2 linked regions of the Lepisosteus oculatus genome follow. The protein of the gene in region 1 interacts with the protein of each later gene in a pairwise test. Links are inferred from orthologs where the notes say so. Each region holds a gene or a part of one and is shown in the gene's direction. Other genes may lie near its edges.

Region 1 (7,573 bases):
TTCAGTGATTTTAACTGTAGGAGCGCAGAAGACACGTCTGCATCGGTTTCGAGTTTACTAGGTTTAGTTCTAAGCTTCATTTTATTTTCACACCTGTAATACAGCACTCGCGTCTGAGAAAAGGGCTCTAACGAAGCTTTAGTGCCGCACAACGGGAGAGGCAGGCTACTGCTTGCGAGAGCGAATTCAAATAAAATCGCGGAGGAAGGCAACGCGCAATTACACTGCTTCTATATGCTGTGAGACAATAAGGCTATTTATACTTTTGAAATCGCAGTGGAAATTGATTAATAAGCGGCTTTCAAATTCTCTTACTCATTAATCGGTTTAAGGAAAGTAATGCTCTTCTGAACAGATAAGTGGACGACGTGCAGTCTCTGTCTCCATCCTTCTGCGCGCTCCGAGGAACCGGCGAGCTCCGGCTTTAACGCAGAGCGCTTCACACGGAGGCAGTCCATTCATCCGCCCATCGCTGCCGTGACAGGAACATCTCGCATTTGCTTTCTTTGCATTTACAACTAACTCCGACGCATTTCTTTTTTTTTATTATTTCACCCACTCTCTCCGGTTTTTCTTCAACAGCAACAGGACTAGGGAACATCGAGCCGCGGCGTCTGAGAGAGGCGCATTCACGTACAGTAACTGTGTGTGAAGTGGAATCCTCATTATTTTATTTCGGGTTTGCAGTAGTAGGTGATATACAGATCATAATCCTGGAGGCATTTTTGACAAATCAAAGAGAAAGAAGTGTGATTTCTTTTTTTTTTTGCGGACGAAGAGTGTTTGATGTTTTCCTACTGTATGTCTGTCCTTTCATCCATTTTTCCTTAAGCTCTTTATACCCGGAAGCTCGTGGGAGCCGGGCACGGGCAGGAGGCAGGACCACACCCTGGGCACCTGCAGGCATGGCACCAGTGGAGCCACCCAGCTGGTCTCCGGACTCCAGAGCAGCCGGAGACAACCCACCTGCCAGCGCAGAAGTCACAGTCCAGGAGTCCCAGCTCTAGTCAGGAGCTAGCCGCCACGCCGCCCTCTTTTCCCCATTATCAACTACTGTATACAGTATATTCCCTATAATTCGGTAATACAAATATAGTATTTGTTACAGTTAAACGACTGACGAAGTATTGAATAACTGCACTTTATTTAATAACATAAGACGTGTTTATTAAATAAAGTGCTGGAAAGTAACACTGTGGTCCAATGAAAGTGCAGTTTCAAATCTCAGATCAAGCCTTTAATCACCATCAGGGTATCTGGCTGGTGGTTTTATCCAAAACGACGGACCTTGTTCCTCTGTGTACAGATGCGTAGTGCATCACGAGCGCTGCGCGGCGAGTGGCCGTGGTCCCGCTCACACCAAGCGCCTTCGCGTCAAGGATGCGATACAATAAATTAATAACGAGCCTGTAAGGTGACGTAAATCACTGCTCGTAAACATAAAGAGTGACTTTTCTCCGCGGGAGAGTGTTTGCCCGACTGTTCAACGCCAGCCGCGCTCCTTATACAGATACATGGGAAAGTTATGGCGCACAGTATTGATATTAAAAATCAGGCAAAAAGCTCTGTAAAAACTCAGGGTAGACGCGTGCCTCTTGGGGAATTTAATTTTAAAAATAAACTCCATCGTGTCAACACGAGATTGAAGGAGGGACTTCCATCTCTCCTTCGGCAAACAGAATGGTGTACCCAACTCAGCCTCCAGCAGCCACTGCCTGTAACTGGAGTGCGTTATTAAGAATCTGCCGACAAATTTCTCCGTTCTCCAGCTCACACATACTGTATATACACATATTCCACCACCACAACTCCTATACACACCCGCTTCCCCACTACTACTGTAGATTATTAACATAACAGCAGCAACAACAAAAAGTTCATCATCTTAGCCTTCTTCTCGCTCATACACAGAAAACTATTTTTGGCAAGATCGCAGTACTGAATCTCTGCCATTCTTCCAGTCTTCTGTGTACTGTAGAGATTGGAGGAATAGGAGGTTTTTACACAAACCCGACCACATTTAGGACGGAGGGGGTGGAGTTGGGGGGGGGTTACAATCGGGCTTGGACAGAACAGACCAACATGCGAAGGACACAGCAAGTCCAGCGTGCACGACCGCTCCTTCAGCGCACAAGCACCTGTCTTCTATAAACAGGTAAACGGGGTGCCATGCTTATTACACCGACCGAGCAGGACGACGAGCCAATATCACGAAACACGGGGAAAGAGATAAGAACGAAAAGGGGTTTTAACCGCAGTACAGCGGAAGTTTTCTCCCCCTCTCCCCTTTAACACCCGTTTCATGCCTTCACCAGAGAATTCACGCTGGATGCTGAACATAAGCTATTGTATCCAGATAATGGAGGATGTCCGAGGCACCGCGTTATGCGTCCGGTGTGTTTCAAATCTATTTATCTCCGAGGAACTTAACGATGGATTGACAGTAAATAACAGCCATCGCTAACCAACAAGCGTACAGTACAAAAACGCCGTCTTGTCGCACAGGGTACTGCTCCTGACTTCTCCCGCTGGCGGAAACGTGAAATGGGCAACTTACCCTTCGCAGAAGAAGCCAGCAATCCCATGTACAAGAAGAGAACCCGGCTCCAGTAGTGTACCGGCACTTCCACCCTCATTAGCGCAAAAATCCCCAGTCTGTCCAGTTTCCTCGGGCCGCTGTAAGAGCATCTACACGCAGTCCTTACCAGTCCTCTTCCCTCCGAATTCAAAGAGGCTCTCATGGCAGAAATCTGGCAGCGACGCTATCAGATGGTTTGAAAGGGAAGATTCACTTTGTATCGGCGCTGAGAAAAATCCCAGTGCATTGAGGCTCCGCTCCTGCAGCTGGAATGAACCATCTCCTGCAGATCCCGGGGTTGGGAAATCTCAAGCCAAAAGATCCCCCCCCCCCCCCCAAAAAAAAAAAAACCAAGAAAAAGACAAGAAAGACTTATCTAGCCGAGATCAAGGCTCATATGTACTCCTCCCTTCTGGAAATCCGGGTTTTCTATTTTGTGTTTTAGGTAGGGTTAACCCGCCTTCCGCTCTGCTCTTCCTTCGAAGATGGACAGTATTCTTATTTTGATGTATTAGATGAACGAATAGGATAATCGCTACTGTTCATATCCCCGGTCTCACTCCGGTGTGGAATTATAACGCTGCTGCCAATTAAGCGCTGATCAGACGCAACTGTGAAGGAAAACCGATGCCTTTTATCGACAGTAAAGTTTTCCTCTTCTCACACATCTTGGGATTGTCTCTCAGCGGAACAATGGTTCGTTTCTTTTCCAGCTTCTCCTGGCCGTTCGTGATTACCGTATTTCACGTTTTATCGACGCTGCTGTTGAGCGCGGAGACTGCGGAGTGCGGCTTCTCCCCTCTCGCGTTCTCCCTCTCTCTCCTTCGAGTATAACCCGCCTTATTGGTGATCGTGCTTAGCCTATCATAAGGCTTCGTGTCCTGGCGCTCTGCTCGTTCACATGATACTTTTGAGATTGATAATCATACGTTTTAAATGAACGGCTGACCACGGAATGCGTTACACAGGGGGGTCCCCAGGGCCCGAGCCCGCGGGCCGAGACGCCCCCACCTGCCGGCGTGCAGCGCCGCTGAGCCCGTTACTGATCTCACTCTGAACCTTCACGGGTGTTTTTTTTATATATACTGTATATACAGTATATACACCACTCAAAAAGACAAAAGAATGTGTTAAAACCCAGACTGCTCTTGTGCACAGTACACGAAAACGATTGAAGGTATCAGTTTGAGTCCATTACGTATACCGGTTTCTGAGGGATCCACAATTATACTTTCACTTTTCCTCGCAGGTAAAAGCCCATATACAGTATGAAAAACACCTGGCCACGTCCTGTATTGGCACTATCTAACCATTGTGTTCGCCTTACGTGTGTAGAACTGAAATGTATTAATTAAATTACAGGGCAATATCTTTTATTAATATTTGACGGTTTCTGACAAGAACACGAAACCATCATCTAAAACCTGAGTATCGTCCTGGATATCTGATAACACTAAATACTGTAAGCAGTGCATGAAACTTGCAGTATTTTAGTCGGCATTTATTTTTTCATTGGAACACAAATGACCGTGTTGTCAGAATACACAGACGCATTACAATGTGAACGCGTTTACAGTGGTTTACAATTTAGAGTGAACATTATTGCTTTGTACTTGAATCATTTATCATACTCTGAATTATTCACTGACCTCGGAGCAAGAGCAAAGTGGAAATAATTTGAAAACACGCTCACGTTTTTTTTTTTAGTACAACAAAGTTTTTAAAGCAATTAATATTTAACAAGGAGAACAAAGGGAACTATAAGGTTAATACTCTCTGCTCCTCAAAATGCAGTACATTTATTCAAAACAGCGGGACCCAGTAGCTAAAGATGAAAAAAAATAATAATTAAATGTGTAAAGATGATTAAGCAGTGAGGTCACACTGTAAGCCACTGAATCACAAAACGTATTTAGCTGACATCGTACGTATTGCTTATGGAGTGAGAAAGCTTTATCGGATATACATTACACAATGCATATATACTGTACATTTTAACGGTAGCACTCAGAAAATGCCCACGTCTAGCATGTACCGTACATCACGCCCCCAAACCGCCGGACGGGCAGGAGGTAGGATTTTCGATTTTCTGCGGAGAGCAGTAGAATGTGCTTCAGCTGCACTCGCCGCTGCCTCCGGGGAGTAACAAGGACTCGAGAGTTCATCTGTTTTGCACCCGATAGATAATCAAAGTCCTTTGACTCCGAGCATTTGGGGACCCTGCTCGCTCCTGCTGCTGGTCTGGCACCCCAGCTGCACTATCGGGGTATCTCCGCTGGCTCCACCAAAGTCGGCCGAGAGGAATCGTGCCAAAGCGCAGCAGCGGTTTAACTACGGTGCTGAACCAGCCCCTACAGCTCCCATCACCGGTCACACCCCAGTTTCCTGTCGGAAATACTACAGTTGTCACTTTGGATAGACGTGGTAGTATAGATCACAATAATGCAATGCTATTCATTTGTAATACTGATATATTTGGTTAAATGAACAGTTAAGTGCGTTTAAAATGATCTGTGAAACAGTTTTCCGCTCTTCAAGGCCAGACAGCCTCTACAATTGACGCCGAACACACGCCAGTGAATTTCAGTGTCATTTGCATTTCTTCGCCGTAACAGGTAATTAGTTTCCTTACACCCCTGACGATAAAGTCATCCGGTTAATGAAATGTGTCTGTCTTTAAACATAATATTCAAATAGTGTCTACGTGCAGAGTCAAGAATTCATACTCACAAATTATGCTAAATAATGCCTAAAGTGCCCGGGCAACGCCAGTGTGGCATTAACAAGTCATTTAATTGTTTCTTCTCGTCTCCTCTCGGGACTTTGTCTTCCCCTGGCACTGCCCGCTCCAGACCTCCCACGACAGAGAGCTGACAGGTTTCTCCCTGCCGCCATCTAGAGCCTCATGCGCCCTCCGCTTGCGCTTTCTGCGCTCATGCTGTAGGTACAGGGCGAGCAGCTCTGTGACGCCTGTGAGCGTATTATTCATTGTTTAAAACTATGTTTAAACGGCTCCTCGCCATTTCTAAAGCTTCCACTTGCTGTCCGAATTTATCGCCGCACAAAGGTTGTAACCGGGTCTGTTTCGGGAGCTGGAAAGAAAGTATTGTTCTGAAGTCAATTATTTTGAATACCCTTTTCGAGTTCGTTCACTGCCCCTTCTCTGCGAATGTTGCGCTCGTTCTGCCTCGTTGGGCTTTATCCCTCTAAGATATTTTTCTTTGTCGCTTTTGAATTCCCGTGTTATATTCATTCCTATCCATCCAGATTGTTGTGTTTAAATATACCGGCTGTACATACTGTAGTACACGCGCACTTGCACGTACTGTAACCTGTTGTCGCTCAAACTTCTAATACACTTGTTGCTATGGTTTCCTTTATTGTTGTTATTATTTATAAATCACAGATCGAAGAATTAAACCCAAACATTCCATTGGTGTGGTCGGGTCTTCAGGGTGGTCAGCAGCCCAAACCAGCTTCACTAAAGACACTCGAGTTTTCAGGAAAATGTTCCCGAGAGTGGATCGCGTTAAAACCAAGCGCCAGCTGAAGAGGGCCTACGCGGCGGGTCCCTTCCCTCGATCTGTGTGGATACACGACAAAGCGCCCGAAGACGACTTGGATAAAGTCTGCTATGAAATATGGAAGAGGGTTCAGGTGGCGACGGCCGGCTCATCGGCACGGCCTACCGCTGCAGACAGGTACCCGTCAGCCGGACTGAGTCTAGCGCCGCCAACAGCGCCGGGCCGGCACCTGTGGCCGTGAACTCGGCCGGCCAGCAGGGTCGGGAGCGTGTGTCCAAGTACGGCCTTCTCGGCGCGTTACTGCGGGGTCACAGTAGATTCAAGGTTGGATTTCTGGAGAGAGGGCCAAGCTTTTATGCCGCACGTGAGGTTTTAATTTGAGAATAAAAAAATAAGGCGGTCAAGGCTCAAACCTTGTGATTGAGTAAGGGTCATCCTTTAAACCCTGTGTACAACTTTTATTTTATTTTTTAATAATTGATTGCAAATTCATTCATGAGCCGTCGTGCCTGAAACGGGAAAAAAGCCCCTCCTTCCAGCGGCGAGCTCAGTTCAAGCTAAGGAAAAAAAAAAAGTTCAAGCTAAGGGTTCGCCTGCAGTACAGTAGAAGCACAAACGGCGAAGCACCGGCACCAGTCAAACGTTGGAGCACAACGTGACCATTTTTCTTACCTTTCCCCCTTCTTACAAAGTTGCTAGAGCTCCGTTTCTTCCTTTCCTCAGTGGTGCCAAGGCTGCACTCGCATGTTCCTGTGCTGAGAAAGGAGCACATCATTCAGAATCAAGGGACTGAAGAGAAACGCTACAGATCATAAGAGATCTGTGGAAAGACATTAACTTGGAAAGCTCATAGATACTAATTCACAGTCACTGGAAAATATGAGCTACTGTATCATAACTATAGTAATTAGAAAGTCAGTTGTTCTGAAATGTACACCTGAGAGTGGACGCCGGACTCACATCAGGCATTGCAGATGCCTACAAGGAATGGACACAACACAGGACTTCCAGCATTCAAGATAAACTGTAAAAAAAAGTCTGGTGAACTAACACCAAACTGAATCACTTATTACAGCCGTTGTTTTGCTTTATGTACAGTAATTATTGATAACAACAGCTGGAGTTTAAATCGTTTCTAAATCCTTTTCATACTGCTTGAAATTTTCTGTAGAAAGGGCAACTCGTACGTTTTTTGAAAAACTATCTCTTTTTCAGAATTGTCTTCTTCAAATTCCATTATTACAGTGTATCACAGATCTGCAGGGAAAAAAAAACTGGCCAGCTCGCTCCGAGCCTGTCGTTCAGGTGTGCGCGTGTGTTGTCATCGAGCCTGCTTGCGGGTGCTTTTCTGTTGTTTCTTGTCTCGCCTGCTGAAGCTCAGGCCCCTAATCTCCCACACAAACAGTGCCATCTGTCCCCTGGCTGCTCAGGGAATGCCACCTCTCAGGTAACTGTGCCCACGTGACTGTGC
Region 2 (7,507 bases), on another chromosome or scaffold:
TTTCTGACAAAACAGCTGGAGCAGAACCAGAAAGGACAGGGAGCTCCAAGACCAAGATTGAGAATCACTGCATTACAAGATGTAACCCTCAGGAACAGTGCAGAAAAAAAAGTTGCAAAGTTCACACTTCAATTTCAATGATAACATTACAAAAGAAGAAAACCGGACCCCAATTTCAAGATGTGTCTGCAAATCAACATCAGCTGTTTTAAAGAAATTGGGGAAGTCTTACCATATGCAGATTTAGTGTTGCAACACTTCCAATAAAGACATGGTGCAATGACTTTCACATAAAAACACACACTTTAGAATGAAAGCAAAAGAAAACAAAAAAAATCTTAAAATAGCAGCTCAATAAATGTGCACAATCCAATCCTCTTAATTTCAGTTCCATGTCCATGTCATCCCAATTTAATTTGTCTAATCTATAGGAGCGCGCAGACATGCTCATTGCAAAACTGGATAGTGAAGAAAGCTGAAACACCAGACAAATTACTGAGACACAACAGCACAGGAACTAGTGCCTCACATATTTCTTCAAACGACAGGAAGACATTCAGTGACAGGGAAACAAATCTGAATATATTTTAGGAAAAATAACTGAAATATCTTAACAGTAAATGTGATCCTTTTTTTATTGTGAACAGATGAACACCAAAATTTTAAGTACATCTTGGCCAGCGTCACAAAACACACAAAATGTTGGGAGATGAACCCTTCAGCAGAAACGACTGGATCCCGCCTTGATTTGAGAATGATTTTTTTCCACAATTTTCATCTGGCTCATTTTCTCACACATCCGTTAACCTTCCAGCGTGTCTTTGAACTGTGGGAGGAAACTGGAGTACCCAGCAAAAACCTACGTGAATATGGGGAGAACATACAAACTCCACACAGATAGCAACCCAGGTCTTGAACTGAGCCCAGGACCCCAGTCCTGCGAGGCAGTAATGCTGAACACTGTCACCCATCTATGGAGCAATTAGCTACAAACTACAAACGTCGTTAGATGGGTCAAATGGCCTCCTTTCATTGGTAACATTTCTTAAATTCTTACCATACTGAGATTATTGCATTAAAAAAGGGAGATGAGTTGAAGTTGAGTATTGCTGCAGCAGGTGGACATCAGGCCATGAGTGTCAACACTACGTATTTGCACACTGGCAAATAAACACAATAGGGAATCTTCAGAATCTGATGCAACGTGTTTTGGAGTCAGAAATACAGTATTATCCTTGCCATGAAGTTGCAGACGGAACCAGTTAATTTCCATACCGCTTCAAGGTGAAAAACTCTTACTTAACTTCATTTCTACACCATTATAGGAAGATAATCAAAAGCTGCCATCACGGCCCCCCTCACCAACTCTTGGTGTACTTTATCTTAAGCTACTGAATAGCACCTCAAGAGAAAAGCAACCCCAAAAACAGAAATCTATTTTACAAACTGGTCAAACAAAAAGCATTAGATTGAACTATGAACTCAAATGATTTTTGACTGGACACTTAAATCCCACGTATTTCCATTTTCTTCATTTTTTTTAGCTCATGTTGCTTAATTCCCATATTGGTGGATGGACATGCTCTATCCTGCTGAAGTTCTTTCTAAGGAAGCCTTTTATTCTGTTGTACAGTTCTACAGATCATTAGTGAAGTATTTCTGACTGTCTAGGCATAACCACTTAAAGGAACCTGAAAGATCCAACAAAAGGCACCAAAACTTTGATATAAAAAATGCAAAGTAGGGGTTAAACTACAATACATTTAACACGACACATTCTGACATTTATTTTTTAACTTTTAACTTTTTCATTAGCATTTACAGTACTTGTTGAGGTTTGCAACAGTTTAAAATGTCTGATGCTGTGCATTCTTAAAGCAGAGAAAAACATTCAGAAGAGACATTGTTTCATCTAGTTTGGTATTGGTAAGAAAGACATGAAGTAAACACAGGTGAAATGGAAGAGCCGTGAAAAGTAGTGCACGTTTTTGCACAAAAATGAAAACATTCAATTTAAACTTTGAAGTAGGAGTGACAGTTGAGGTTCCAGTTGTTTGTTCTTGTTTGACTGGAGCCTCAGTGATCAAGACAGCCCATCCTGCTGAGATTTCACGAGCAACAGCATCAGTGTGCAATGACAGCAAGATGTCATCACCAATGGTGAACAGTGGACACAAGTGCACACGCCAGGGTCATGACAGCCGTGCATTAATTCGAAGAGCAGGGCAAGACAAGCGAGCAACTGCATATTTCAGCCTGCGGCACAAGCTGCCAGTTTGATCCGAAACAATCCGCAGAGAACTCCGCAGAGTGGGATACCACTGTTGGTCTGAAGTGCACAAAGCACTCATCACATTGGGCAGTACATGTTTTAGAGCCCAGTGGTGCAAAGTGCACAAGCAATGGAATACTGAGCAGTAGAGAAATGTGATTCAGTCAGATTAAACATCTTTCACCATGTTCCTGACAAATGCTTGAGTGCACCTAAAGCCCAAAAGACTTAGTTTCAACGATGAAGGGTGCTGGGGGTTCCGTAATATGTAGGGAACATTTTCCTAGCGTGGTTTGGGTACACTTATTTACTTAAAAGGCAAATCCATGCTTATGGCTATTGTTCTGAATTGTTCTGAATTGTGTACCACTCCTCCATATTTGGAGCACTAGCTTTTCCTCAAGGTGAGTTTGTACTACAGTGCGATGACACTCAACACTTTTACCTACAAAAGAAAAAAAATGTTCTGCCTACTTATATGATGTTTTAATCACACAGCAACATACAATATTACATATAATGAAAATTCTAAATACTAAATAATTCTAAATAATAATCTCAGATTTATAACTGGCGACGGTATGACAAGACCATGGATAGCTCACTTTGGTGCTATACAGTATCTTTGCCAATGTTGCATCACTAAGTGTTCCTTTTACATCCTAAAAAAAGACGGACACAACACTGAAGGCCTAAATAGAGGACTCATATTCAGAATAAACAAGAAATGGAAGAAAATAATGTTTATGTTTTCGCCTTCGAGTTATAATTCCTAACAGTCCATAACCAGTTCCAGTATAGGTAACTTCCTAAAAACAAAACGTTACCATTTTCTAAAACGTGCAGTAACTACATTTAAAACGCACGGACACCGGATTTCTTGCATAATGCAGGAAAGGCATTTCCTAACTGCATTATTTCACAAAAAACCTTGCTAAACGAAATGGAGAAAAGGAATAGGCATTTCGATATCCATCACTATTGTTATCTCCACTCTTTCAACCTCAATGAGCAGCAATAGAATTAAATACCTCTCGTAGTGTTATCGTGACTTATTCGGTACTGTTATTAACAAATCGTGCCGTCCCCTTTGTCGCTCTGTACAGAATGTAACCACAGAGGCCCCATCTTTTCCTCCTCGTCTCTGGGGCAGCTCTAACAATACCCTCCCTCTGCCTCCGTATTGTCAATGCTTACCCATAAGTATCCTCATTTGTTTCTTGCCAAAAAGCTTGGAGAAAAGCGACGAGATAGTGAGGCCCATGTTGTGCGAGAGTACCCCCCCTTTAACACTTCGAGTGATGTCTACAGTTAGAAACAGAAATCGTTTAAACAGCCCCTATAGAAAATGGGAGTCTCTCTACTGCCTCCTCCTCTGATGCAGGTGCCACGTCCAGGCCAACGCGGAAGAAATTACGTCACCGCTTTCATGAAACTTTATTAGCAATCATAGGGTGTCTCATTTCCAAAACTGCTGTAATAAACCCAATCTGCCCCCAAACGATTCTGTGAGCAACGCTCAGAAAAATGTATGCTTTATTTTGGAATGTTTGGTAGATGTATGCAGCATAACACACATGCATTACCTTTGCAAGTACAGACGTAATCTGCTAAAATGGAAATGACATGTCACATTTTATCCGTCCATGAACACAAAGCCGCTTATTCCTGGCAATGGCCAGAATAACCCGGTGTCCTGTCCGAGAAGCATAAGGCACATACAGGAGCATGCCCCGGGCAGGACACTATATTTTAATATTTTCGTTAATATTGTACCTCGAACAACCTGCAGGGTCCGCCGTATGCGTTACAATATCAACACCCTGTAAAAGGTATTTACAACTAATGATCGCTGCATTATAATAAGATCTTTAAAATAAGACCCCGCGTTTTTCGTTTGTTCTGCTAATTCAATTTGAACATACATTTATCTCGTCTATTGTCTAGATATCTCAGGTTGTTAGTTAAAAAAAAACAGCCAGGAGATCAACCCGGTGGGGAGCAACAATTATTTTACGATACGTCGTAATTTTGTTTGTTTATTCTGAAACAAATATAAAGTAAAGAGACAAGCATACAAAATAATAAAACTCTTCTCTGAATGCTTCAATTTTTCACAGACTAATTATTTCCGACCTTACTAAGATGGCCCCCATAAATTTGTTGTAAAAACTTTATTGCTTAACAAATCCAATATACATGAAAACTCAGCCGTTACTAAAAGGACCCTTTCCAGGAAGTACGAGTTACGGACACGTAAGCTGTGTACAAGATAGCAAGCTTAAACGACTAATCGAGGACAGAGAGAAAAAAACAAGTACGTTTGCAGCTTTTTCATTAGTTCAAAATACGAAATGTAGAGTTAGTAGATGTTCTGTATTCGAGACATTTCTCCATGTGACTGTCAGCTTTGTTAGGCCTCCAGGAAAATTCCAGATATCACAACATTGCACTTTGTTTTTATTTTTTATTATTTATTCATAATGGAATTATTAACTTTATGGCAGCCGTTGCTGAAAGATGGAAACTAAAGCTGAGAATTACATCTTAAATTAGATATTCTTGAGTAGAGGTTTGCTTGCATAATTTTATTAACTCTTATTTTGAGTAGAACTGGTCTTTTTAGCCACTCAGAATGCTTTTTCCTTCAGTTTTTTTTCAGTGCACTGCTTTTTCCTTCAGTTTTTAAATCGGAGATTCTCTTGGTTAGCACATTACAGTTTGAAGTGAAAGAACGACATCTGAACTCGTTTCTATGCATATCTAGTTCTCCTTTGTTGCGAGAATTGAATGACAAATGCTCGGTTTTATACGGTGGTTTGCTGTGTTTTATTGCATATGCGAAATGATCATCCCCACCGTCTTTGTGCGTGTATTTGTTTCACGTTTATTTTTTTACTTAATTGTTACGGGGATTTCAAATTTCATGTTAAGTTTTTGTCTGATTCATTTTTCTTTTTATTTCATAGTGCCTCGGGACATGACGTGTATGATTGTTTAGCTGAAACCAGCAAACATGGAGAAGTTTGGAATGAATTTTGGGGGTGGCCCCAGTAAGAAGGAGCTGCTGGAAACTATAGAAAGTCTGAAAAAACAGCTGGTTCAGTACCAGACCCGTTTTAAAGACGTTGTCAGGGCTTACAAAAGCCTTCTGAAGGAAAAGGAAGCTTTGGAGGCAAGCTTGAAAGTTCTGACTGTATCCCAGGAAGCTGACTTGAGCTATTCGAATGCAACGCCTTCTGGGGCCTCTGGCCTGGAGCGGCGTTCTTCGGACCTTGGAGACGACAAGTGTTCGTTGCACAGCGAAGACAGCGCGGACACAGCGGCCAGTGTGGACACCGCTAACAGCGTGGCCAGCAGCAGCACCAAGGGAGAGGCGACCGAAGAAGAAAAGAGCCTTGGTGAGCACGGGCCGGCTGTGTCCGCTTTGCAAAGGGCTGAAGACAATAATGGCTCGGAGAGTGGCGTCAGCTCCAGCAGTGGGGAGCAGCAGGTGGCTGGGGAGGCTGACAGGAGAGTCCTGCAGCTGAAAGCCCAGCTGTCCACCCTGACCAGCTCCTTGGCCACTGTGACGCAGGAGAAGTCAAGGATGGAGGCCTCCTTCCAGGCGGACAAGAAGAAGGTGAAGCAGGACCTTGAGGATCTGTGCAAAAGCCTGGAGGAGGAGAGGAGTCATCATGAAGCGGAAGTGAGAAGCCTGCAGGAGCAGCTCGCGGAGGCCAAAGCCCGGGTCATCACCCAGCAACACGAGCGGGCACAGGAGCAAGGAGACCACGCGCTGATGCTCCGTGAGCTCCAGAAGCTGCTGCAGGAGGAGCGGGCCGCCAGGCAAGATGTAGAGCTTAAGCTGGAGGAGACCAGAGAAGCTCTGGTAGAGAAAATGACAACCGCCGACCGTGTGGGAGACTATGAAGCCCAGGTTAGGGTGCTTTCCACGGAGCTGGAGGAAATGAGGAAAACTCTCGAGGAGGCCGAGAGAGAGAAGTGCAAAGCCGACCCCCGCGTGGGAGAACTACAGCAGGAGATTGAAGATCTCAAAGCGCACTTCCAGCTACAAATCCAACAGGAGATGAGAAAGGTAATTTTGGTTCTCTTTCATACGGTATGTTCTTTAGCTCTTGTGAGTAGTTCATTCAGCAAAGAAGCTTGAAGAGAGTGGAGGCTGAGTATTGCAATCCAGGAGTCACAAGTTCGAACGTAGATGAGATTTCATAGGTTCCCCAAAAGGCAGCACAAAATCAGCTGAGCACTGCTGAAATTGATTTCCCCTGCCTGCTGCACAACAGCAAGCCTTAGAATCGACCAGGTGCTCGCGAGCCTGCGGTGGTTTCTGTGAGAGACGCACCATTGCTCCTGACACTGCTATCTCTCCTGTGAGGCACAGTGGAGCTCGCTGAGTGTTAAATGATTGACAGTGTGGCAGGTGTGCACGCGCATACAGTGCAGCCTGTAAGTATTTGGACAGTGTATTTGTTTTGGCTCTGTATTCTAGCACATTGGATTTGAAATAAAACAATATCCATGAGGTTAAAGTGCAGAATGTCAAGGTTAATTCGAGGGTATTTATGTCTATATTGGGTGAACGATATACACAGCCCTTTTTACACATAGTCCCCCCATTTCAGGGGACCAATAGTAATTGGACACATTAACATAATCTTAAATAAAATAGTCATGTTTAGTACTTGGTAGCAAATCCTTTGCAGTTGATGACTGCCTGAAGTCTGCGACCCATAGACATCACCAGACGCTGGGTATCTTCCCTGGTGATGCTCTGCCAGGCCTGTAATGCAGCCATTTTCAGGTCCTGCTTATTTCGGCGGCTTTTTAGCTTCAGTCTTGTCTTCAGTAAGTGAAGTGCATGCTCAGTGGGATTCAAGTCGGGTGATTGACCTGGCCAAGAAAGTTCCACTTTTTGGCCCTGAAAAACTCCACAGTTGCTTTAGCAGTATGTTTGGGGTTAAGGCTCTGCATGGCTTGGCACCTCAGTACCTGTCTGAACTATTATCGCCCTACTCTCCACCTCGCAACCTTCGCTCTTCTAATTCTGCTCTCCTTACTGTCCCCCAAGCCTGTCTACATTGTATGGGTGACAGGGCCTTCTCCTGGTATGCCCCCAAGCTCTGGAACTCTCTCCCCAAGGATATCAGAGAGTCACCTTCTCTAAACTCCTTCAAATCCAGACTCAAAACCCTCTGCTTCAGAAAAGCCTTTTCTTAACTGGTTCCATTCTTC

The links. The genes of interacting proteins can lie anywhere in the genome.
Region 2: the proteins of uncharacterized protein C1orf94 (region 1) and gcc1 interact in binary tests that used the Homo sapiens proteins (3 or more experiments, as listed by UniProt). The two-hybrid records come from large-scale screens. The link is inferred for Lepisosteus oculatus from reciprocal best matches to the Homo sapiens genes C1orf94 and GCC1.

Annotation. Positions count from the first base shown.
Region 1 is NC_090706.1:1,999,632-2,007,204, forward strand, and holds the start of uncharacterized protein C1orf94, read left to right. Parts: upstream 1-4,561; 5' UTR 4,562-4,592; coding exon 4,593-4,650; exon of another isoform or gene 4,651-5,002; intron 5,003-5,116; exon of another isoform or gene 5,117-5,193; intron 5,194-5,308; exon of another isoform or gene 5,309-5,905; intron 5,906-5,984; coding exon 5,985-6,279; intron 6,280-7,573. Other genes in the region: csmd2 (CUB and sushi domain-containing protein 2), read right to left, coding at 2,558-2,741.
Region 2 is NC_090702.1:13,128,537-13,136,043, reverse strand, and holds the start of gcc1 (GRIP and coiled-coil domain-containing protein 1), read left to right. Parts: upstream 1-4,488; 5' UTR 4,489-4,589; intron 4,590-5,241; 5' UTR 5,242-5,288; coding exon 5,289-6,350; intron 6,351-7,507. Other genes in the region: ADP-ribosylation factor 4-like, read right to left, coding at 3,470-3,536. UniProt on the Homo sapiens protein: Probably involved in maintaining Golgi structure.